7 linked regions of the Rattus norvegicus genome follow. The main gene of each other region encodes a partner of the protein of the gene in region 5 in a complex. Links are inferred from orthologs where the notes say so. Each region holds a gene or a part of one and is shown on either strand. Other genes may lie near its edges.

Evidence for each region.
Region 1: Snrnp200 (region 5) and Crnkl1 share a complex: the UniProt entries of both Homo sapiens proteins name them as parts of the minor spliceosome. The link is inferred for Rattus norvegicus from reciprocal best matches to the Homo sapiens genes SNRNP200 and CRNKL1.
Region 2: Snrnp200 (region 5) and Lsm4 share a complex: the UniProt entries of both Homo sapiens proteins name them as parts of the U4/U6-U5 tri-snRNP complex. The link is inferred for Rattus norvegicus from reciprocal best matches to the Homo sapiens genes SNRNP200 and LSM4.
Region 3: Snrnp200 (region 5) and Txnl4a share a complex: the UniProt entries of both Homo sapiens proteins name them as parts of the U4/U6-U5 tri-snRNP complex. The link is inferred for Rattus norvegicus from reciprocal best matches to the Homo sapiens genes SNRNP200 and TXNL4A.
Region 4: the proteins of Snrnp200 (region 5) and C3h9orf78 are in contact, whole or in part, in a cryo-EM structure (PDB 7OS2), measured with the Homo sapiens proteins. The link is inferred for Rattus norvegicus from reciprocal best matches to the Homo sapiens genes SNRNP200 and C9orf78. Residues at the interface, in NP_054733.2 of Homo sapiens: Val1188, His1189, Leu1190, Gln1191, Glu1201, Pro1283, Ser1285, Arg1287, His1288, Leu1289, Asp1729, His1730, Asn1769, Tyr1770, Asn1772, Gln1774, Gly1775, His1780, His1784, Leu1788, Gln1791, Asp1795, Gln1798, Ser1799, Tyr1826, Thr1827, Glu1830, Leu1831, Met1834, Ser1835; in NP_057604.1 of Homo sapiens: Arg5, Lys6, Ile7, Phe8, Arg9, Arg10, Arg11, Glu16, Ser17, Glu19, Glu21, Asp23, Ser24, Glu25, Val27, Arg28, Lys30, Leu31, Thr34, Arg35, Val37, Gln38, Arg41, Arg43, Pro44, Asn45, Gly46, Val47, Ser48, Ala49.
Region 6: the proteins of Snrnp200 (region 5) and Tssc4 are in contact, whole or in part, in a cryo-EM structure (PDB 7PX3), measured with the Homo sapiens proteins. The link is inferred for Rattus norvegicus from reciprocal best matches to the Homo sapiens genes SNRNP200 and TSSC4. Residues at the interface, in NP_054733.2 of Homo sapiens: Arg1438, Arg1475, His1502, Lys1748, Gln1749, Val1752, Asp1753, Thr1756, Trp1757, Tyr1761, Arg1762, His1778, Leu1781, Ser1782, Asp1783, Leu1785, Ser1786, Glu1787, Val1789, Glu1790, Gln1791, Glu1807, Met1808, Asn1814, Met1817, Ile1818, Tyr1821, Tyr1822, Asp1928, Ser1931; in NP_001284587.1 of Homo sapiens: Val198, Ser199, Ser200, Phe201, Asn202, Gln203, Asp204, Pro205, Gly211, Arg212, Val213, Ile214, Phe215, Thr216, Lys217, Pro218, Arg220, Gly253, Pro254, Val255, Glu256, Leu257, Ala258, His259, Leu260, Ala261, Gly262, Gly303, Phe304, His305.
Region 7: Snrnp200 (region 5) and Prpf4 share a complex: the UniProt entries of both Homo sapiens proteins name them as parts of the U4/U6-U5 tri-snRNP complex. The link is inferred for Rattus norvegicus from reciprocal best matches to the Homo sapiens genes SNRNP200 and PRPF4.

The regions. Positions count from the first base shown.
Region 1 is NC_086021.1:153,794,497-153,797,614, forward strand, and holds part of Crnkl1 (crooked neck-like protein 1), read right to left. Parts: intron 2,572-3,118; coding exon 2,491-2,571; intron 1,145-2,490; coding exon 905-1,144; intron 1-904. UniProt on the Homo sapiens protein: Involved in pre-mRNA splicing process. As a component of the minor spliceosome, involved in the splicing of U12-type introns in pre-mRNAs.
Region 2 is NC_086034.1:18,792,057-18,796,327, forward strand, and holds the start of Lsm4 (U6 snRNA-associated Sm-like protein LSm4), read right to left. Parts: upstream 2,801-4,271; 5' UTR 2,726-2,800; coding exon of another isoform or gene 2,642-2,725; coding exon 2,639-2,641; intron 1-2,638. UniProt on the Homo sapiens protein: Plays a role in pre-mRNA splicing as component of the U4/U6-U5 tri-snRNP complex that is involved in spliceosome assembly, and as component of the precatalytic spliceosome (spliceosome B complex).
Region 3 is NC_086036.1:75,947,229-75,950,373, reverse strand, and holds the end of Txnl4a (thioredoxin-like protein 4A), read right to left. Parts: intron 851-3,145; coding exon 679-850; 3' UTR 501-678; downstream 1-500. UniProt on the Homo sapiens protein: Plays a role in pre-mRNA splicing as component of the U5 snRNP and U4/U6-U5 tri-snRNP complexes that are involved in spliceosome assembly, and as component of the precatalytic spliceosome (spliceosome B complex).
Region 4 is NC_086021.1:34,664,397-34,667,282, reverse strand, and holds part of C3h9orf78 (telomere length and silencing protein 1 homolog), read left to right. Parts: intron 1-235; coding exon 236-313; intron 314-1,960; coding exon 1,961-2,158; intron 2,159-2,886. UniProt on the Homo sapiens protein: Plays a role in pre-mRNA splicing by promoting usage of the upstream 3'-splice site at alternative NAGNAG splice sites; these are sites featuring alternative acceptor motifs separated by only a few nucleotides. May also modulate exon inclusion events.
Region 5 is NC_086021.1:134,888,673-134,892,172, forward strand, and holds part of Snrnp200 (U5 small nuclear ribonucleoprotein 200 kDa helicase), read left to right. Parts: intron 1-403; coding exon 404-502; intron 503-1,575; coding exon 1,576-1,728; intron 1,729-1,880; coding exon 1,881-1,980; intron 1,981-2,190; coding exon 2,191-2,327; intron 2,328-2,817; coding exon 2,818-2,901; intron 2,902-2,980; coding exon 2,981-3,154; intron 3,155-3,459; coding exon 3,460-3,500. UniProt on the Homo sapiens protein: Catalyzes the ATP-dependent unwinding of U4/U6 RNA duplices, an essential step in the assembly of a catalytically active spliceosome. Plays a role in pre-mRNA splicing as a core component of precatalytic, catalytic and postcatalytic spliceosomal complexes.
Region 6 is NC_086019.1:207,681,087-207,684,744, forward strand, and holds Tssc4 (U5 small nuclear ribonucleoprotein TSSC4), read left to right. Parts: upstream 1-1,458; 5' UTR 1,459-1,576; intron 1,577-1,825; 5' UTR 1,826-1,890; exon of another isoform or gene 1,891-2,000; 5' UTR 2,001-2,009; coding exon 2,010-2,975; 3' UTR 2,976-3,158; downstream 3,159-3,658. UniProt on the Homo sapiens protein: Protein associated with the U5 snRNP, during its maturation and its post-splicing recycling and which is required for spliceosomal tri-snRNP complex assembly in the nucleus.
Region 7 is NC_086023.1:80,885,511-80,887,722, forward strand, and holds part of Prpf4 (U4/U6 small nuclear ribonucleoprotein Prp4), read left to right. Parts: intron 1-1,785; coding exon 1,786-1,908; intron 1,909-2,023; coding exon 2,024-2,131; intron 2,132-2,209; coding exon 2,210-2,212. UniProt on the Homo sapiens protein: Plays a role in pre-mRNA splicing as component of the U4/U6-U5 tri-snRNP complex that is involved in spliceosome assembly, and as component of the precatalytic spliceosome (spliceosome B complex).

The sequences.
Region 1 (3,118 bases), about 19 Mb from region 5:
CATTTTCTTTTTAAACGTTTAACACAACCAAAAAACTTGTCAAGAATTCCAGGTACTTTCATGATGCTGCCCATGAGTTAACTTTTAGGGAGAAAATAGGCCAAATTAGCCACTGTATGTTCTTACCCCAATACCAGTTTCTTGTCACTTGAGTTAAAAACATTAAAGATTTATTTATTTTATGTATACAAATGCTCAATCTGCGTGTACACCTGCAGGCCAGAAGAGGGCATCATATCACATGTTTGTGAGCCACCACGTGGTTGTTGGGAATTGAACTCAGGGCCTCTGGAAGAGCAGCTATCTCTCCAGCCCTGAGTTCAAAACATGAACTGCCCACCATAGTCACAAGGACAAAAAAGGGCAAGGATGAGGGAGCTGTCAGTCTAGTAGAGTAAAGGAACTGAGCCACAGGTGAGATCAGCCGTGTAGGAAGCTCTGCCCTGATGTAGGATCATGTTAGTACAAGATTGACTGGAGGCTAGGGCAGTCCTGTGGCTTCTGTGAGGCTCCAGGCAGTCCTGGCAGTGGCTCAGTGCTCTCTGTGGCTTTACTGAAGGCAGGCCAGGACTGCAGTAGAATCTAGGAAGATCATATTTTAGGCAAAACTACCCTAAGGGCAGAGCTATGTAGTCTCCACCCCCATTTCCTGTGTTCCGGATGTGAGGCCTACAGCTGGTTCCTTACCGGCTTGTCCTTTTGTCCCCTTTACCCTTCCTTCCCCGTCAGCTGTGTGGGGATTGCTGCTGACGCTCCCCTCTTCACTTTCTTATTCAACAGAGTCCTAATCAGAGTGGGAAGACTATAATATTATAATAGCTGGGTCATGTTTATACTTTGTTTACATGGTTAGCTAAGGGGATACTTGAGAACTATCTAAAATACATTCAACTTGGGATCTCACCTCTGGCATATCCAAGCGTGGCTGGCTGATGGCTAATTCATAGATTGCCCGAGCTCTCTCAATATCACCAAGGATTGTTTCTAATTCTGCAAACTTAATCCACGAGGTACAATTTTCAGGTCCAAATTCCAAAAACTTTTCGTAAAGCTTCCTGCATCTGTCAAATTCTCGAAGCTGCAGTTCCAGTTCTATGTAACCTTTGAATAACTTGTTCTTGGGACATTTGCCTATGGAAGTTCCCTGGAGAATAAAAGGGTCAAGAGCACTGTTACACTCATGCACGGTTCAACCTCAGTCCTTGTGGCTCTGTCCTAGAAGCTATCCTGTGCTCGAGTCAGTCTGGCAGGCCTTCTGTTGCTCTGCTATCATCCAGTTCTCACTCACCAGGCACTCAGATGACAGACACTGGGGCCTCGTCAGCTACAGGCACTACTGCAGAATGACACACTACTGGATTTTATACCTCCCCAGATCCCCTAACAAATACGGATGTCAAACATACAAACCTTTGAATAAAACCTGACTTACTACTACCCATAGGAAGCAAATAATTAATCTGAAGACCAATTGTATGTATACATAGTAATTTATCCTACTGAGACATTTTATGACAAATTATAAGGAAGATGCATTCAGACTACTAACCTGGGGATAGATCTAGTAACTGGTAGCTATAGACATTTCTTGGATTTTGTTTTGTTTGTGTTTTGTTTTGTTTTGAAGACGGGGTTTCTCTGTGTAGCTCTGGTTGTCTAGGAACTCATTCTGTAGACAAGGCTGGCCTTGAACTCAGACTTGCCTGCTTGTGCCTCTCAAGCACCGGGATTGAAGGCCTGCACCACCACCAGCACCAGGCTTAAGTGCTGTCTTTGTATCTCTTGACAAGTTCACATTTGTCACATATACAATGTACCTTGATCATATTCACCCCTAACTCCCCGCTTACACGCCCCTGTAACACGTTCTGCCCGCCTTCGTGTCACACTGAGTACAGGTAACTTTGCCTGCATGAACAGGGGAAGCCCAGCATCAGCTACACCCCTGAAGCAAATGACTGCGTCCCCTCGGCAGTCCCCAGCTGTCCATAGCCCTTGCTGGAGGTGGCGTCCCAGGAACCCTGTCCAGTTCTAGCAGGATGGCTTGATCTCCTGCAGGTCTCTTGTCCGCCACTGATGCTGCTGTGATTGAGGCAGCAGTCGTACCTTGCCCAGAAGACCTTTCCCAATACCACCCCACATCCTGTTCACCTTCTTCTACCCCGTCTCCTTCAATGGCTGTAGAAGGGGCCACATCTATGTCCCACTTCAAATGAGCACTGAGAAGTCACGTATTCTCAAAGCCCAGCATGGTCTCTGAGTTATCCCAGTCTACATATACTAGATACATTTCTGCTGCTCCACCCGCTGCTGTATTCTTTTTTTTTTTTTTTTTTTTTTTCCTTTTTGAGATGGGGTCTTGCTATGTAGTTCAGGGAGGCCACACCCGGCTTCGTTGCTTCTTTTCGGTAGGAACCATACAAACCGTAAGCATGAAGATCTGAACTGCCTCATAAGTCTCATTGACACATGCCAATCCTCTTTACTTACCAAAGCTCTTCTGGCAAATGGCAGATTTTTCTGTCTTATTTCAAACTGTGCGTAATATAACCACATTTTGGCAAACGTGAACTACAAAACACAAGCACAAAAAGATCTGGTTTAGGGGCTGGGGATTTAGCTCAGTGGTAGAGCGCTTACCTAGGAAGCGCAAGGCCCTGGGTTCGGTCCCCAGCTCCGGAAAAAAAAAGAACCAAAAAAAAAAAAAAAAAAAAAAAGATCTGGTTTAAGAGGCATATTTAAAATTAATTTAAATTAAGCTATGGTAAGATTTCAGGGTGAGGAGGGATGCAGTTTGTTGGTTTTAAGCAAAGATGGCATTTATCAACACTAAAAGCACGCCAAGAGGCTGGTGAAACGGCTCAGGGAATGGCAGTACCAGCTGTCAAGCATGGCCCTTGTATTTAATCTCGTGGTGGACAGAACCCACTCCTCCCAAAGTGATCTACGGCACATACACAGCCCTCCTCCCATAAATAAATATAATAAAAATCTGTATATACACATGTGTGATGACCTAGATGGATACCGTCCTACGCACGTCATAGCACGGCAGCCTCTGCTTTCAATGTTTTATGGGCTGCTTATAAGCTGGTAAATGTCCTGTTTCTAAGACCTC
Region 2 (4,271 bases), on a different chromosome or scaffold from region 5:
CATTAGACATGTCTCCAAAATTCACCCAAAAATCAAAATACAGCCAGGCACTTAATTTTTGCACTGAGGGGCAGAGGCAGGAGGATCTAAGTTCCAGGGTAACTGGGTCACACAGCAAAACAAACAAACAAACAACAACAACAACAATATCACAAGGGGCTGGAGACAGGGCTCAGTGGTTGAGAGCACAGCTGCTCTTCTGGATGACCTGGGTTCAATTCCCAGCACCCACATGGTAGCTCACAAATGCCTATAACTCCAGTTCCAGGGGAACCAACACACTCACAGAGACATGCACGCAGGCAAAACACCAATGCACATGAAATAAAAATAAATCATTTAAAACAGAAGAAACAAACATCAAGGACTCAGATCCTCGGGGCCATCGTGCCCAGCCTGGTGACTCTGGGTCACGAGAGGGCTGGGGGAGCCTGCAGCACAGGGCCCTTCCTGAGAAGAGCTAGGGGTGGGGGTGGGGGTTCAGTGGCAGGAAGTGAGGCTGGAGCCCATTTCCTGCAGAGACTTCCTGAAAGGGTAGGAGGCAGAGGATGGCTTCTGTGAAAATGGGTGGTGGGAGGGTGGCCTTGGTGATCAGTGACAATGGTGTCCAGTCTGACCCTCAAATAAACAGTGAAAAAGAGGCACAGTCTGGCAGCCTGTGGCTAAGCTCCAGGGAGTTGGAGCCATGGTCATCCTTGGCTACAATGTGAGGTCAGCCTGGGCTACATGAGACCCTGTTTCAATAAAGGAACAAATAGAACAGTCAAACTCCTGAAGACAAGGCACAGCAAAGGCTCAGGGGCAAACATCACTAAACAAGAACAGGCGCACATACACAGCTCTTCTGGAGCTGTTATGGCCAGCACAGGCTAGTCTGGCTGTGAGGCAGCCATGGTAAGGTCCAGCCTACTACTGAGCTTTTGTCCCTCCTGCCCGGGCCCCAGCCACCTCCCAGGGTGCCCTTCCCCAGACTTTCTTTGCCCAATCCTGCTGAGCATGTCCCCTCCTGTGACTAGGCCCCTAATGGCCACCCTGGGCTGCCAGCCTGTTTCCACCCACCACAGCAGGGGCCGCTCTCTAATTACAGGGTGATCAGCACCAGTCTCCCTGGCTAGACAGAAGGTCAGTGTGGGCGCGGGCTCTCCTGCAGCAGGGAGGGGCAGTAAACACTTGCTGAACAGGCAGGGTGGAGATACCCAGCACAGGTGCATCCTGTCCAGAGCCACAGGTAAGTGTGGTGTAGGGACAGGCCGCCACCCCCAGATCTGCGCATGCAGTGGGATACAGAGGAATGGAAGGAATGGGGTTCATAGAGAAGTAATTAGTCCGTGCTCCAGCTGGGCAGGCCTCCCAAAACGAAGGAAAAAAAGCTCAGAGTGAAACGGGCCAGGGTGGACAGGGAGGGTGGAGCTGGGATAGTCACAGGCTTTTGAGTGGGGAGATACAGCTTTACACTGAGCACCTGCACCTGCAGGTGTTATGGCCACTGGCTCTGGGCTCCAGTCCCAGCACCTCCCATCAGAGGAGCAGTTTCAGGAAAGGAAATTCCTTCTCAGCCACCCTCCAGCCTCTCTGGGATCCAGCGTGTAGATGAGACGGCTGGAGGATCAAGCCTTGGGCTCCGAATTCAGAAACTTTCGGCTGGGACACTCCTGTACCAGCTGGGCCGCAGAGATATGGGAGTGTCTGTGCGTACCTGCGTGGAGAGGGTGTCCAGTCCTGGACACACCTGGCCATCCCTTCAGGGAGGCTCAGAGGCTGGGCGGGTGCTTTATGGTGGGAATAGACTGAAGGAGTCTCAGGGGCTCAGGGTACACCTAGTGGGGAGTGCTTACACAGCATGTGTTAGGCCCTGAGGTCCTGCACCACAAAACCCAGGGTCGCTCTGGAGTAAAGGCAGGATCAGGAGTTCAGTCATACGTGATTACAAAGGAAGTTCAAAAGCAGCCTGGGCTATATGAGATCTGCCTCCCGTCCTAACCCAAACATGGAGGTATACACGTGTCCTTTCCATACTCCACTGATTGAAGCAAGAGGATGAGTTTGAGGCTAGCCTGGATTACGTTAAGTTCAGATCAGAAAGCCTAACCAAAAAACAAAACCAAATATTCTACCATCAAGAACTGAGATGGGCATGTCCAGCTCTCCCAACTTGGGCCAACGCGCCCCTCGATAGAGCAGCAGGGAAACCTGGCCTCCTCTATTCCATCATGTCAGGTCCCACAACTGGGAAGGCCTGAGCCTGAACTAGGAGAAAAAATTTCCTTCCTCCCGAGCAGGACCTGCTATGTGTCCAAGGGAGAGAAACATCCCTCAATCTGGGTTGGACTTTCGGCCAAAGGCGTAGGCAGCTGAGGTCAGACACTTGATAAGCATCAAGTGGGCAATGGAACCCACGTGAGCCCTTAGGTCCGCCCACTTCCCGGAAACGCAGCAATCCTATCAAAAACGGTGACAAGCTCCGGAAGCGATCATAGTCCTTCCGGCCGCAAAAAACCTTGTCCATTCAAGAGATAAATCCGCAACGGTGGCGGACTGGGACCCTAGAGAGACACTGGTCACCTCCGGCCTCAGGTTTCCCCATCTCTCAGCAGCCCGAAGACCCTGAGCGCGCGCCCCGCCGCCTCGCGGCCCTCACCATCTTCCCTGCAGAGATAACTTCCGCCGCTGCACAGCCACTCGCACTCCCACCGGCAGTCTACCGCGCGCTCCAGCCTGAAAAAGACTGGCAGAAACTATAACCAATCAGCGAGTGACTAAATGGACCGATCCAATCGGAACGGGATAAGGCGGTGCCTACATAACGCGGCGGCGTATCGCGTCGTATTCCCACCGTGGGATTGAGGAGCGGCCGTAAAGCGTGACACCGGAGTGACGCAAAAGGCCGCGGTGCTCTTCATGCCCACTCATGGTGTATGTTGGGAAATGGCGCCTGCGCAGATGTGCACTCCTGACTGGTTCGGCGCCACACTGTGGGCGAAACTGGCTAATGCATGTGAATCGCGCTGGGCTGGGGAAACCCGCTTCATACCCTCTTCGCGCTCCTATCTTTCCGTCCTCGCCCTTATGGAGCTCTTTCTCTTTATCAATCCAAATATAATCCTTGAACGCGAACGTCAGGGCCAGCGTTCCCCGGCGACAGGAAACAAATCGCTGGAATTTTCGTGTTTTGAGATGGGTTCTTGTGGCAGCTGAAGCTGATCATGAACTCGCAATAGCCTGGTACGCAACTTCTTCAGTGCTGGCATGGCCGCTGTAGGCTACCAAGCCAGCACCTTGTTTTTTTGTTTTTGTTTTTGTTTTTTTTTAATCGTTATCATTTTGGGAAGAGGTTAGGGTTTCTCTGTGCAGCCCTAACCGGCCTGGAACACTCAGTGTTGACCAGGCTGGTCTCAAACTTCCTGAGATCTTGGTGCTGGGATTGCAGGTGTGTTTTAATCTGTCGTCTTGAGATACAAAGTTAGGTTCTCATGCTTGCCCAGTGTTAGGGTCCATGATTCGCCACCGAAGAATGATACCGTGGATTCAAATAGTATGTAAAGGCAATGAATGTTTTATTCTGCAGAAGTCCAGCATGCTGTGGTCTCCCATTACCAGAATAGACACCCAAGTGAACTTGGAAGTCTGATTTAAAGCACATTAGGGAATTCTGGGGTAGGTGACCTCTATGTTAATCTGTTGGGTCCATCTCTACAGACATTCCATTACTGGGGTGTGGGGGCTGGAAACTTACTGGGGAGGGCTGGAAACTGCTGCTGAGGAAGTCTGGAAACTGCTGTTGACCCAGCCATTGTCCTTGCCTCAGGCCAGGTGGCAGGGCAGCTTCTGAGGCCTGGACTTGCCTGGAATTGCCCAGTTCTTGGAAACTGATTTAGGCCTACTCTCCTTAACTGCCAGTTTGAAGTCTGTCATGGAATCAGTCTAGCCTTTTCACCAGTCAGCCTTTTTTACCCATGGATCCAACTCCCCTGCCCTTCTATTTATTTTTATTTCCTTTGGCTACTGGCGATGGAATCGGAGCTCTGCCCTGAGCTGTCCCGAGCAGGACAGCTGTTTTACCAAGCTTCTGGAAGGCCTGGTGCAGAATGTCAGTGATGAGCTCACTTGTACGGTTCCTCTGCCCCAGGAGACTCCCTGGGCGCCACTACCCAGGGCTCTTCTTCTTTTTTTTTTTTTTTTTTTTTTTTTTTGGTTCTTTTTTCCGGAGCTGGGGACCGAACCCAGGGCCTTGCGCTTCCTAGGTAAGCGCTCTACCACTGAGCTAAATCCCC
Region 3 (3,145 bases), on a different chromosome or scaffold from region 5:
AAATCAATATATTGATGTTTTAAGCTCAGAATCTCAGACCATGACCTTATTTGAAGTGATTATCATATGTAATTGGTTAAGATGAGGTTGTCAGAGTGAGGTGGGCCCCTCAGACAATGTGACTGGTATTCTTATAACTATGAATATTTTGAGATTGGCATATACATGCGTACACATGACATACACAACTCGTAAGGAAAATGGCAAACACTGGGATAATGTACTCTCAATCCAAGGTTCACCAAGGACGGCTAATAACCTCCAGAGCTAAGGGGTTACTATGGATAGCCCACGCCTCAAATGGAACCCAGAACACAGCCACCTCAGGTGCAGACCTGGAAAACCATACAGCTGAAATGTCTGTGGAAGCCACCCTATCTGTGGTATTTGCTTGACAGCTCTAGCGACCACTTGAAGATGCAAAACCTGACAGCCTCATGGGACAGACAACGCTTTCACTGAGAGTGAAGACATTTACAGTCAGTAAAGCACACGGCAGATTCCTACTGTTCCTTCACGTTTATTTGCTTCAGGTAGTTAAGGCCCCTGTAACTCATCTCAAGGCTCCTCCAGCCCTAAGGCCATGTTCTGCTGCAGGCCCTTTCCCGAGGCTATGAGAGCAGAGTCTGTCTAGCCAGAAGAGGCTCCCAGTGTCCTGTGCACAGCCTGAGTCAGTGCTCAGTATCTGTACTTTGTGGAATAGTCCTTGGGCGACACCACCAGGCCTCGGCCTTTGCGGGCGCCACGGTACACGGTCTCTATGATGTCAACCATTTCCTGCTTGTCTTCCATGGCCCAGTTGATCTTGTTATTGTTACCAGTGCCCAAATCAATCATGATGTGTTTGTTTCTGAAAGAGAAGAGAAGAGCGATGCTCACAGAGAGCCCCACGCACGTCTGGTCTCTCTGCGGCCTAAGCACCTGTAATGCCATTTAAGAGCACAGACCACTCAGAGAGTCCACAGTTCAAGACAAAATAAAGACAAACACTAAATATAATTTTCTATAGAAAAACTCTGCACTCTTCTTGGATTTTCTGTGCATTTGTTTACATATATAATTTAGTTCTTTTGAGACAGGGTCTCTACATATCTCTGATTGTCCTGGAACTCACTTTGTAGATAGGGCTGGCCTCAAACTCAGAGACCCCATTGCCCCTGCTCCCGAGTTCTAGACTGAGGGCATGCACCGCTGTGCCCTGCAATTGTGCATCCGTATCTTGGACTGTAAAGGTCAAAGACAGCTGTATCGTTCTGAAAGACAAGCAGTTTTCCCGAGGTGCTCTAATTTTCCTGAAAAAGCCTGTGACCTTCTCATGCTTTGTGCACAGGGACTTGGTACAGATTCACCAAACGCTTTGTAACCGTGGGTTGAGAATGATGGCTTTGCCCACCTGGTATGCTGTGACTGAGAAGCAAACAGTCCTTAGCCACTCACCCTTCAGAGGACAGGCCTTTCCCTCACTTAGGAACCTGCATTTGTACTTTCTGAATAAAGATATTAATCCCTACTGAATTTGCATGAATTTTTTCAAGTTTCTAAAGATCTGTTTCTATTAGTCTAACACTATGGGATCACTTCTATGGAATCACACACTGGCTTCCACTATAGCCCATGACCACGCCCCACTGGTTCTGAGAGCAGTGAAAAGGTCAGTTTGACATGACATATGTCAAATATTCACTCCCAGGGAGCATTCCATGTCCTCAGTTAGCCCAGGAAGGGGGTGGACACCCACACCTCCTCCTACCCACATGCACAGCAGCCCTACTGGGCTCTATGGCTTAGTCTCTCTGTAAGCACACTGGACATGACTAGTACTTTGTATACCCGGGAACCCTGTGTGATTCTGACAGGCTTCAGTCAGTTTTATCTCTGCAAAGGGTTTTTGTAAAGAGGAGCCTGGCTTCTCTTACTCTGTCCCAGTCCTAAGAGTAAAACCTGGTAGGTACTCAGTGTACCTGGTAGGTACACTGGGATATAAACTGACCACTCTTGACTCTTGTTCTAGAACTTTGGATCACAGAAGAAGGAGGAAATTTGTCTTCTTTTCTGAGTCCACTATCTGTCCTAATGACCTCAAAGACACCGGCTGTCCCTACCCACACACCAACACTGCTTCCTCCAACCTCCTCCCATGCCTGTCGCTGTCTCTCTAAGCTAGTCCCTCTCTCCCATGTGAAGTGAGCGCCTTGTTTCTCACAAAGAGGAAGGGACTTTGGTTGCACACTGGGAAGGAACTACTGTGTCCTATAGTTGTATGGAAAGCAGAACTTGTTAACTGAACTTGTTTTTTAGCAGAAGAGATTTCCAAACAAGGAAATGCTGCCTGTTTTCTTTCTGTCCGTAAAGGACAGAGATGAGTGGGCTCAGGACTGTTAGTGAGAAAATTAAACTCGCAGCTTCTTCAGATAGCACAGTGCTGAAGGCCAGAACATTCGCAGGCAGCAACTGTGGAGGAAGAGAAGACTGTGGAAAGAAGAGAATGGCCCCCACTGTGGCTGAAAGAGCTGGTCAACCTGCTCAGCTGCAAGCATCAGTCATGAAGGAGACTTGGTTAGATCCCTTCCCAGGGGGAGCACGCAGCTAGGAGTGTAATACTGAGCCTTATTAAAGTTTGTCTGGCCCTGTGTGCTGTGTGTGCAGGTGTGGGGTGTTGGAGGTGGAAGGGGAAGAGGCTCCCTGTTTCTGCCCAATCCCTCTGAGCTGGAACAACTTCACAGGGCAGGGGTCACGCTGTAGACCTCAGAGCAACTGACTGGGTGATCTGGACAATGAGGACTGTGACCTGCTGGTCCCAGGAGTGGGGTCTCTAGGGTCCTTGGAGACCTGGGAGAGGGTCCTGGCTTGCTTTAAGGGAAGGACAGTCTCAAGGATAATAGACAAAATCCTAAAATACCGCCCGTCCCTGGGACCTCTGCTGTGACACTGCACAGGACATTCCTGACACGGGCCAAGCTCCTCAGTAGCTGGCTCTAAAAGGAGATCACTGTGATTACCCAACTCGCACTAGTCTAACCCCCCTCTAAGAAGGAGAGGATTGTGCGAAAAGCTCACTGTGACAGACAATGGATGCTGTCTTACTCAGACAGAGGAGCCTTAAAGAGCAGAGTGGCTCCCACCAACAGCAGCAAGAAGAAAAGCC
Region 4 (2,886 bases), about 100 Mb from region 5:
AAAAAGAACCAAAAAAAAAAAAAAAAAAAAAAGAGACAATGGGGAGACTCTAGAAAGGAGGGCACCCTGACACAACCTTTGCACACCCAGGAACTTAACTACTATAAAAGTTTGCAAAAGAAAGCATGCATTTGGTCTGGAGAGATGGCTCAGCAGTTAAGAGCACTGACTGCTCTTCCAGAGGTCCTGAGTTGTAACTTGGCGTCAATGACCATGACCTGCTCCCTACTCTCAGGGTCAGTGAAGAGGAGGATCTGCACCTGGGGACATCTTTTTCTGCAGAGACCAACCGGAGGGATGAGGATGCAGACATGTAGGTACCCGTGAGTCCAGTTGTCTGTAAGTACTGTAACTCAGCCCCAGCCAGACATTCAGACATGTCTGGTCACAGGTGGCCTCTCTCATGTTTTCTTGGCTGTGTCCTCCCTACTTTTCAGGTTTGGGATCTGTAAAAGGTTTCAAAGGTGGTTTTCTGTTTGCATTGATAATTCCTGCCCTCTCTCCTACTTATATCCTCAGCCCTTGCCTTTCTTGATTAGTGATATTTCCTTAAAACACAAGGATTAGTATCATGGATTTATCAATCTTTTTCATCAAGGCCTTTAAAACATGGTACCAGAGTATCCTTACCAGAGTATCCCTTTCTTGAACCTTTCCCAACTAGGAATTCTTCCTCACTTTTCCTTTGTCTTGGTAAATCTGAGTTCACTTTGAGAAGGGGGTGAGGGGAGAGGGAGAAAAACATAATGCCATTTTTCCATATTCAAAGAACCTTTGATATGGTCACTCCAGGAGATCTAGTATCATAATCTCCAATGTACATTGGTGTTTCGAGTTGAAATTTTCAGAACTCAAATGCCTGTAGTTCTACACTAAGGAGACTAAGTTAGGAAGATCTCACATTTGTGATCAACTAGGTGAGACAATTGTGAGACTGTCTCAAGAACTCCCAGATATTTTTATTCTTAGTTTTTCCATGAACTGATAATATTTTCACTGAAGGCAGGTTGTTGACACGCATATTTAATCTCAACACTTGATAGCCACTGGCAGTTGTCTGTGAGTTTGAGACAAGCCTGGTCTACATGAGGAGAAGCTATCTCTGAATTTCCCCCACATTTGTAAAATGGCTAGCATTTTAGAACAATGACCAGTTCTCTTAACTCCTGCCAGCCCTCCTCCTAGTTTCTGGCCCAGCCCCTTCAAATGGTTCTCCCAACCGTTCTTCCCTCAGTTCTCAGTCGCTTAAACAGTCCCTTCCCCAGTTTTCCTAACTCAGCTCAGCTTCTATCTCAACTGTCTCCTCAGAATATCTTCTTCACCAGCTGCCTTCTCTTCTCACTTGCCAGCCCCATCCCCAGCCAGCCTTTTTATATCTTGTTTTGTTCCCAGAAATCCAAGAGGGAGCCAACACTGAAGGTCATAGGGTCTAGCAGTTCTAACACCTAAGAATTCTTAAAGGGGGCTAAAGAGATGGCTCAGTGGTTAAGAGCACTGGCTGCTCTTCCCGAGATCCTGAGTTCAATTCCCAGCAACCACATGGTGGCTCACAACCATCTGTAATAGGATCTGATGCCCTCTTCTGGTGTGTCTGACAGCTACAGTGACAGTGTACTCACATACTTAAAATAAATTCAGTCTTTAAAAAAAAGGAATTCTTAAAGGGACAGTTGACCGGCAACTGGGCATCCTTTAAAGGGGTGAGGCAGGTGCACAAGATAACACACATCGATTGGTGAAATGGGTCAGTGGGTAAAGATGTCTTTTGCCAGCCTCCAGGACTCACACAGTAGAGGGATAGAAGCAACTCCTCTGACTTCACATGTGTTGCGGTACACATGTTCTCACATATTCATAGATGACATAAAATTAAGTGTAAAACGTTTTCATTAAAAATGCTGATTAGCAGTTGCCTTGTTATGGCCATGCTGGCCCCTTAAGCCTGTATACCCCCTCACAGGATGAAGTACATTGAGACGGAGCTGAAGAAGAGGAAGGGGATTGTGGAGCAAGAGGAACAGAAGGCCAAGCCCAAGAATGCTGAGGACTGCCTCTATGAGCTGCCAGAGAATATCCGAGTCTCCTCTGCCAAGAAAACTGAGGAGATGCTGTCCAACCAGATGCTGAGTGGCATCCCTGAGGTGGACCTGGGCATAGAGTAAGTCTCCCAACCCTGGCTGTGCCCCCATGCCTGGGAAGGGCTGACGCTTTTCCAGTTCGTGGTTACACAGACAAGGCACAGAGCTCTTGCCCTAGCATTCCTCACACCCTGGGTTATGGGACATGGCTCAGCAAAATGCTTGTCATGCAAGCACGAGGACTTCAGTTTGACCCCCAGCACCCGTGCCAGAAATGGCAGGTGTATCAGGGCACGTGGGCAGCTGGAGATCAGAGAGCCTCTGGGCTCGTTGTTCAGCCAGCCTAGCCGATTAGTGAGCCTCGAAGAAATCCGCCGTGTGGCTCCTGAGGAACTACACTGAGGTTGTCCTCTGGCCTGCACGTGCACGCAGAAGCACACACATGCTCACAAAAGTTATGGAAATCCTGCTTGGTATCCATGGAAACCTATAGATATGCCCTCTCAGACAAGTTGTCTCCAGGGTTTTCTTGTCACTTGTGGTCCCTGTGGCTGAAGAGACTTAAGGGCATAAGTGTCTCCTTAGCCTCCACAGCCTCTCATTTCTAATGAGATCTCCTGCTCCCCTGTGTAAGAGGCTGGCCCACCCTCCTCTCTGAGGCCTAGAGGGAAACAGAGAGAGACCAGCAGCAGCCTTGCTGAAAGGGAAGTGTTAGGAGTCTTGTGGGTTCTGGTCTCTTTCCAGCCTGGCAAGAACCTTTGCACTTAAGCAGCCTGCTTCGTTTTCATGGGGGAATGATCTCTCTCTC
Region 5 (3,500 bases):
TTGAACATGATGCTCTTTAAGAACAGTCCACAACTGAGATTATGCAAACTAACCATGGTGTCTACATTTCTGGCTCACAATCTGCTTTCCTGTGAGTACATCTTCATAGGTCCTCTGTTAGCCAATAGTCTTAGTTTGAGATATCTGTGTCTCAGAAGGAGCATATGATCCTGGTGTTTGATATTTGGCAGCTAAGGTAAGAAGCAGAAAAGAGGACAGATACATCTAATAAGCCCGTTCCAAATGGTCATTCCGTTGATGTTCCTGGAATATGGTTGATTATTGGCTTTACCCCAAAGCCATTGTTCTAAGCATGGTGCATACTTAGAGTGATTGAAAGACAAGGTCTGAGTGACACAGGACCAGTTCCACATCTGTATTGAGGTTGGGGTTGTCTCCATAGGAAGGTGATGAAGATGTGTATGGGGAAGTCAGAGAAGAAGCTTCTGATGATGACATGGAAGGGGATGAAGCTGTTGTGCGCTGTACCCTCTCCGCTAATGTAAGTACAGTCCCTGTCTTGGTGTAGGCCAGCTTACTTCTGAATGAAGCACTTCCTCCTACTAAGACACTCACTGAGCTGTGGTTGGTTTTTCTGGGTGGGGGCCACTGCAGATTGAACCCAGCTTCAGACATGCTGGGCCAGTGCTCCACCATTGCGCTTGTCTCGTCGTTCTCAGCTTTGGGGCTGTTTGGAGTTTTGTTGTTGTTGCCCATGCAGGCATCAAACTTTGACGTCTTCCTCATCCTTCTTCTCAAGTGTTAGAATTACCAGCGTGGACCACTGTGCCTGCCAGATTTCCTTTCCATGGGTATTTGGGTTGTTTTTAAAATTTGATGTATAGATAACGTTGTAATGACAATATTAGAGTGGTTTGTTTATTTGTTTTTTAAGGTAGGGTTTCCCTGTGTAGTCCTGGCTGACCTGGAACTTGTTCTGTAGACCAGGCTGGCCTTGAATTCAGAGATCCACCTGACTTTGCCTCCCGAGTGGTGAGATTAAGGCATGCACCACCGCTACCTTGCTGAGTATTTTGTTTTTTGTTGTCCTGGGGTTGAACTTACTGTCTTGTACAAAGCGAATGCTCTAGCACTGAGTTATAGCACCAGGATTTAAAGAGACTAAAAAAAATTTTATTTTGAAAAAGGGTCTCACGGAGTTGCCAGGGCTGGACTTACCCTCTAGCTCATGCAGGTTGTGCAGCTCTGTCAACTCTGCCTTCTGAGTAGTGGGTAAATGTACAGACCTGTGCCAGTAGCTTGATGGGCAGCTCAGACTGGCCTCGGATTTGGAATCTGCTGCATCAGCCTCCTGAGGGCTGGAATTGCAGGTGTTCCACCAAGCCCAGTCGAGCCTTATTAAACAGTGAGCATTTGATTTTCTTAGGACGTTAGTTGTTACTCTTCCCAAAGACACGTGTTAATGAAATCTTAGTCTGGTGTGCTCCTGAGTTCAGTGTACTAGAGCTGCTGCTTTCTGGAAAGACCTTAGAACGTAGCCTATGGGTTGACAGGAACCTTGGGTGGAGCATGATAAAGAGACCCAGTGAGCCACATGCCTGATTTCCTTCTTAGCTTGTAGCCTCAGGCGAACTGATGAGTTCTAAGAAGAAGGATTTGCACCCTCGGGATATTGACGCGTTCTGGCTGCAGCGACAGCTCAGTCGTTTCTATGATGATGCCATTGTGTCGCAGAAGAAGGCAGATGAGGTGTTGGAGATTTTGAAGGTATGGCCAAGTAGTACTTGTGTTCCATGTGTCTCAGAAAAGGTCAGTGTTTGGGAGGCGGCTGTGCTTAGTGTAGTGCTGCCACTGCAGGGGCAGTGTCTGAGGTAGCAGGTGGCTGTATCCTTACTGGTGGCCTTATTTTCTCTCTCCAGACAGCAAGTGATGACCGAGAATGTGAGAACCAGCTGGTTCTGCTCCTTGGCTTCAACACTTTTGACTTCATCAAAGTGTTGCGGCAGCACAGGATGATGAGTGAGTAGACTATGCACTGGTTCGCTCCGTGTGCATATGTGCGTGCGTGCGTGCGTGCGAGCATGTCTGCTAGCATGTTTGCTAGCATGTCTGCTGAATTGCGTTGCTTCTCTGGCTTCAGTATCTAATTACCTTCTATTTGCTCAGGAATAAAAGTTGGTTTTATTTCACTCTCTGCCACTTTCTCTCTCTCCCTATTGTGTTTGGCAGTTTTATACTGTACCTTATTGGCCAGTGCTCAGAGTGAAGCTGAAAAGGAGAGGATCATGGGAAAGATGGAAGCTGATCCAGAGCTTTCCAAATTCCTCTATCAGCTCCATGAAACTGAGAAGGAAGACCTGATCAGGGTAAGGAAGACCTGATCATGGTTTAGTCTGTCTGTCTCGTTTCTCTTTCAGTGTGTGAGGTAATAAATCATATCTCTCTGTTCTTTGGAGTTTGTCAGGGTGCAGATTAGAATCAGCACACTCGTTGCTGTGGTTGAGGCACTGTCTTCATCTAGTACCATGGGATCTGTTTACTACAACCAGGGAAAAGGGCGTGTTTGTTTAATATAGAACACCTTTTCTCCCTGCCTTCGGTAGTTAATTGAAGACTGTCTACTTCTGACATCCCTCTTCAGACCACTGCATCGTCACTGTATTTGCCATCTCTGACTGATTTATTTATTTATTTTTATAATCTCTGGCAGGTCTCAGAATACAAAGTGATGTCTTTTGGTTTGGGAATACATGATATAGCATCCATGAATGAAGCCCAACCCAGAAGGGACTGGAAAGGACAAGAGCCCAGGAGATTGATATAGATGATTGTGCTTTTTCTTTTTCCCTGCTGCAGGAAGAAAGGTCCCGGAGAGAGAGAGTCCGTCAGTCCCGAATGGACACAGATCTGGAAACCATGGATTTGGACCAGGGTGGAGAGGTGAGTGCCGGGCTGTTCCCAGGCCGTGGTGACTGTGAAGCTCAACTGCTCAGCCTGTTTCTGTTTTACCTGTTTCCAGGCTCTGGCTCCGAGGCAGGTTCTGGATTTGGAGGACCTTGTTTTTACTCAAGGAAGCCACTTCATGGCCAATAAGCGCTGCCAGCTTCCCGACGGGTCTTTCCGACGCCAGCGTAAGGGCTATGAAGAGGTGCACGTGCCTGCTTTGAAGCCCAAGCCCTTTGGCTCAGAAGAAGTGAGTGAATCACCTTTTCCTTTCTCTGCTTCTCTCTTTCAGTTTGGCTTTTAGTCATTAGCTAAAATGTCACCATGTCTCAGATAATTTATTCTAGTAGTGGTAACTGTTTCAAAGTTTTCCCATTCTAAGACCAGGAAGCAATAATGATCTCTCTGGACAGGTTTATAATGGAGAATTATGAATGGTGATTGTCAGGGAATGAAGTCATGGGGAAATCAAAGTGAAATCATAGTAATCTTATAAGGATGGGCAACCTGCTGAAGAATCCAGTTGCATAAAGTATGGGATGTTTCTTCCCTTAGCAACTGCTCCCAGTGGAGAAGCTGCCAAAGTATGCCCAGGC
Region 6 (3,658 bases), on a different chromosome or scaffold from region 5:
CATGCTAATGGGACTGCCAGACCTCTTCCTGTGCCAGTGGTGTCAGAGACCTGGCTCGTCAGCTCTGAACTTTGCCAGGTACAGGGTGAGCAGGTCCAATAGAGCCTGTGGAACACAGTGGGTGGGGAGGGCTGGGACCCTGGGAGCACTCCATGTTGAGTACTCCCTCACTTCTGTACCTCCCTGTACTGGGAGCTCAATGCTGACCTAACACCAGCCTTGACCTCATTTCCACTCATCTGTTGGGAATGCCAGGTCGGCTGAGTCGGGTAGGAGGAGCCACAAGGCAGGGGAATCCAGCACAGAATGTTGGGGATAAACTGCAAGAACACTTTCCTTTTGAGGGACAAGACAGTAAAGGTTAGACCATTACCCCATCTCAGGTATCTAGGTGTTGGAAATATTCCACTGAGCTGGATGGTTCTAGCTTGTGTCTCAAGAAATAAAAGGCAGTCCGCTGAGCTCACCCCTGTGAACTGAGGATCAGGCTAAAGCAACCTCCTGGACACAAGGGGCAACCACCACTGTCTTTCTCTTTGACTCCTGTCTGCACCCCTCCCCCAGGCTGCTGGGTTAATTGGCCACTAGAGAGGAGAAGTCCTGGCTAAGATTCAGGTCCCAGCAGTAGGCTGATTTGTCGGTGAACCCCAAGCTTGTACTAGGGCATTCTAGGTCTCAGCCACCTCCACCCACCACGCCAGGGCAACCTGTTCCATGCTTGGCTGGCTTCTGAGGGAACCTTTATATTCTATGTTGTGAGGCCCATGGGCACCAGGCCAAGGCTGTTGGAAGCCTGTTGCACAGCTTCAAGAACATAGTAAAGGAGGAGAGAATGCAGCAGCCCAGTGGATCCTCAGACTCTGGTGTCTAAGGATGCAAGAAAACAGTCCCAGGCCTGGAGGAGGATTATGTGTGGCCTTGAATAGTAGGGTCAGCGTCCAGCACCTAAAGCGTCCGTCCGTGCCTGTGTCAGGAAGCACAGACAGGCAGTGCCCACGGTAACGGCCTCGAATCTATGAAGCCCCAACCAACCCATTACAAGGACCACCACGTCTCTATACGCCAAGAGCCAACCAGGACCTTGGTCCCGCCCAACTCCAGAAAGCCAACAAAGCACAAGACCCGCACCACTTCCGCCCAGGGCCGGAAGTGTCTGGGAAACTGGTTGTAGCTCGCAGTGCGTAGTGACGCACTTCCTCGTGTCGGACCCGGCCCAGGTGGCTTCCGACGGACGACGCTAGAAGCCTCAACCCTTTGCGATTGGCAGTTAACCCTAGAGTATTGTGGGAATCACGGCTCCGCCTTTTCCCCTTTCGTCATTTCTGGGTGGATTTCCGTGTGCGCTCCGGTCTTCGGGATGGCACACATGTTACAAGTCCCGGCAGGCATTAGGCAGTGACCCCATTGCCTTCTGGGAGTTGTAGTTTCTCGGGCGCTGAAGCCACAATATTCTGATAGCCCGAGACTCGGTTTCCCAGGAATCCAAGCGAGATTGAACAGGCCGGAATCCCGTGGAACTGGCGGGACGCTGCGGGAAAGGTGGCAGGTTATTGAAGCGTGTACGGATGCTGGAACGGTGAGCACTGGCCTCCCTAGGGCCGCGACCAGGCCAGTACCGTGCCTGTTTCTGCCACCTCCCCCTCCGGACCCCGGGTGGTGCCTTCAGTGTGTGCCCAGAGAGGCTGCGCTTTGCTAAGAGCTCGTGATGGGACGAGCCGCTGATGGAGATCCCCTGTCACCAGCATCTCCCAGCGCTCATCTATTGTATGTCCACACTGTTATGATCTCATGGTTGACTCTCTCCTTAACCCCACCTAACCTGCAGCTCCACATCTGTGCACGCTAGGATACCCTTTAGCCACCCAGCTTCGCGAGGCCTCCGGTCCGGTTGTGAGTAGAGGCGCCTGGCACACAGTGGAGGTGAAAGAGCCCGGGAGGGCGGGGAGGGGTGCGGCATTAGGTACACCCCTCACGGCAGAACTGGGACTGCCTTGCTACAGGTGGGACGGATGTCAGGTCTTATGGCGGAGACAGAGGCCGGCTTGGAGGTTGAGGAACCCACCGAGGATGACACCCTGCCTTCTGACACCGTCTCCCTCAGCGACTCGGACTCTGACCTCAGCTTACCTAGTGGTGTGGAGGTCCAAGCGTTGTCCCCAGAGAGGCTTTCTGGGGAGAGCCAGGAGGACTCGGGCCCTGATGACCCTCCCTCGCACCCCACGGGCATTCCCACCACTGCAGTGCAGCCGTTCCACCTCCGAGGCATGAGCTCCACTTTCTCCCAGCGGAGCCACAGCATCTTTGATTGTCTGGAGAGTGCAGCCCGGCAGGAACCGTGCTCTGCTCCCCAAACCAGTGTGGTTGACAATTGCAGCTTCAAGCGGCCTGTGGCTCCCCCAAGTCAGACTCCAGCAAGAAGCTTGAGCAGAGTGCATGGGAACACTGACCCGACCAGGGTACACCCTGTCCCTGACTATGTGTCACACCCTGAGCGTTGGACCAAATACAGTCTGGAAGATGTGTCTGAAACCAGTGAGCAGAGCAATCGTGATGCTGCCCTGGCCTTCCTGAGCTCTCGAAGCCAGGCATCCCCCACAGACTATGTGCCCTTTTTCAACCAGGACCCCTCTAGCTGTGGGGAGGGAAGAGTGGTCTTCACCAAACCAGTGCGGGGCAGCGAGGCTAGGGCTGAGAGGAAGAGGGTCCTAAAGAAGGGGGTTGTGTCAGGTGCAGGGGGTGAGGCCTCAGTGGAGCTAGCCCATCTCGCCGGGCCTGAGGCTGAGGAATGGAGTGGCCACCAGGGACAGCCAGAGGTGGTAGTGCCTTCAGAAGCTGCCCGTCCTGAGTCCTCATCAGGCCCCATAGGTATGAAAACTGTTGGTTTCCATGGCAGCAAGAAGCGGAGCAGAGACCACTTCCGGAACAGGGATAGTAACCCGGAGGGGCCAGGGTCTGAGAGAGGACCCTCAGTTTGACTGCAGTGCCATCGCTCTACCTCCTCACCTGCCCAGTCCAGGTGGGACAGTGTGGGCTCTCTGTAGTAGGGATGTGTGGGCCTCAACTCTGGCAGAGACTGGGAATTGTGGGTCAGGGGACCTTGAAGGCCTTTGTGCCCCATTGTTTGGGGTGAATAATAAAGGTTTTGAGTATTTACTGAATTTCGTGAATTTTTCTCGGCCCCACTCAAGAGTTATGTCCAAACAGTCCTGGGCAGCTAACTACAGGACTGCATCTCTACCAGCCTCATCCTGCCTTCCCCGCTCTAGTGAGGACCGCTGTGAAGGTTTGCCATGGGCATTGATGTTTGTCACTGGTAACCTACCCAGAGGGAGTGGGCTCGTAGCTGTGTTCAGCCTTGTGCCCCTGATGGTACTGGATGAGCATAATATGGTCCCCCTGCCCCCCAGAAACCAGTGCAGCCCCAGCACTGGGCCCGCACAGACCACGGGTTCTAGGAAGAGGATAAGTTGTGAGCCAGCAAATGGTTGGTGTCCGGGCTGTATGTCTCCAGGACTTGTGACCTCTGTATAAGACACAGCTGATGCTAGATCCTTCAGCTGAAGCTGGGCCAGGGAGGAGGAGAAGGATGCACGAGTGAGTATTTCATGTGGAGGCCAGGGACTTGGACCAAGTTAGCCAGCCTGGCCTGCTAAGCACC
Region 7 (2,212 bases), on a different chromosome or scaffold from region 5:
AACAACCTATGACTTGATTGCGTTCATTCTGCCTGTTTATACCCATTAGTGTTGTTGAGTTGTAGTGTGTTGTGTGTCTGAGCCACGGTTTATGCATCCTCCCGTTGATGGACATGTGGGCATGTTTCTAGGTTGTGGCCAGTCAAGATAAAACTACTGTAAACACCCTTTTTTCATGTTTTGTGTATGAGTTTTTTGCCTGCGTCCAGAAAAAGGGCATCAGATTAGAGTTACGCATGATTGTGAGCTGCTGTGTGGGTCCTGGGACTTGGGTCCTCTGGAATAACATCCTGTGCCATCTATAAATACCCTTATTGAAGCTTTTTGTAGATATAGTGGTTGTCTTTCCCTTGCTCTTAGATAGTTACAATATAATTGCTAGTTTGTGGAGTGGTGGTGTATAGAGTAGATGTATGTTAGCTTTTAAAGGATTTGGGCAAGCTGGATTCAGTGCCATATGCTTACAGTCCCAACACTCAGCACAAGGGCCTCACAACTGAGGCCAGTCTGGGCTTCATAGTGAGACGCTGTTCCCCAGAATAAAATCTTAGAAACAGCTGGGCTCCACCCACTCTGGTTTGTAGCTGTGTCGGTGTCTGCTGTTGCCAGTCGTACTGTTTTGCCCACAGTAGAGCACACAGTAATACCTCATGTCAGTGTCCCACCCTGATGGCGTTGCACTTATTTTGCCACATGCTCACACATCTTGCACATCTTTAGTGCAGGCTCCAATTGCTTTGCCCTTCCTGAGTTTATCTGTTCTGTATTTGTACTACCAAAACCTGTTTGCAACCATCCTTTAAGATTTTCATTAAAATTCCTTTTGCACCTTTAATGAGAACATTCTGATTGTACACATTCGGGTCTATTTCTAGATCTGCTCTATTTGTCCTTTCTTTCTTTAATGCCCAAATTTCAATTGAGTCTCCAGTAAATACACAAATGCCTGATGATGAGTGAAGGAGTGCAGCAGAGGAATGAGGGGGAGGCAGTGCCATCTTTGCTGGGCCATTCTTCAAGAAGTTTGTTTTTGTTTTGTGCTCGTGGCCGAACCCAGGGCCCTGCACATACCAGGCAAGACCTCCCTACTATTGAGCTCCAACCCCAATCCAGGGAATTTGTTTTTTAAAGAATACCCACTAAAGTACAGAATGTTCATGGTCTCCCAACTGTCAACTAAAACAGACTCTTGGACGGTGAGGCATTGCTCATGTCAGAAAGACCTACCTACCTTCCTTCCTTCCTTCCTTCCTTCTTTCCTTCCTTCCTCTCTCTCTCCTTCCTTCCTTCCTTTTCCTTCCCTTCTCTTCCCCTTCCTTCCTTACTTCCTTTCTTTCCTTTTTTTAGGATACAATTGCCCCGCCTTTAGATTTATTTAGTAGTGTTCTATGTGCATATATGCCTGCACACCAGAAGAGGGCACCAGATTTTATTATAGATGGTTGTGAGCCACTATGTGGTTGCTGGAAATCATGCTCAGGACCTTTGGAAGAGCAGTCTGCTTTTGTCCTCAGCCGTCCCCCTCCAGCCTGGCAGCTCTTGGTAGTATGGTTGACCAGCGGCGAGCTAAGCTATGGTTATCTATAGTTCCTTGTCATAGACACTTTTTTTTTTCTTTTTCTTTTTTTTCGGAGCTGGGGACCGAACCCAGGGCCTTGCATTTGCCAGGCAAGCACTCTACCACTGAGCTAAATCCCCAACCCCTTGTCATAGACACTTAATCTGCTGATTTATCGTTGGTATAATTTTGGTAAGTTGGAAAATTTATTCTTATTTATTTTTAAGTTATGACCGTTCATGGCGCTTATGGGATTTAGAGGCTCAAGAGGAGATTCTACACCAGGAAGGCCACAGCATGGGTGTGTATGACATTGCCTTCCATCAAGATGGCTCTTTGGCTGGCACTGGGTAAGATTTCCTCCACAAAGCAAGGGAAGGGCAGCTTAGTAGTCTCACCTCTTAGGCAACCCCGCTTTCTTGTCACACTGTATTCCATATGTTCACACAAATGTTGTCTCCTCAGGGGACTGGATGCCTTTGGCCGAGTTTGGGACCTACGCACAGGACGCTGCATTATGTTCCTAGAAGGCCATCTGAAGGAGATCTACGGGATAAGTTTCTCCCCCAATGGGTAAAGCAGACTCAGTGAGTGGGAAGGGTCCAGGTCAGACAGCACTCTATGTTTCTAACTGATGCATCTGATCCACAGCTA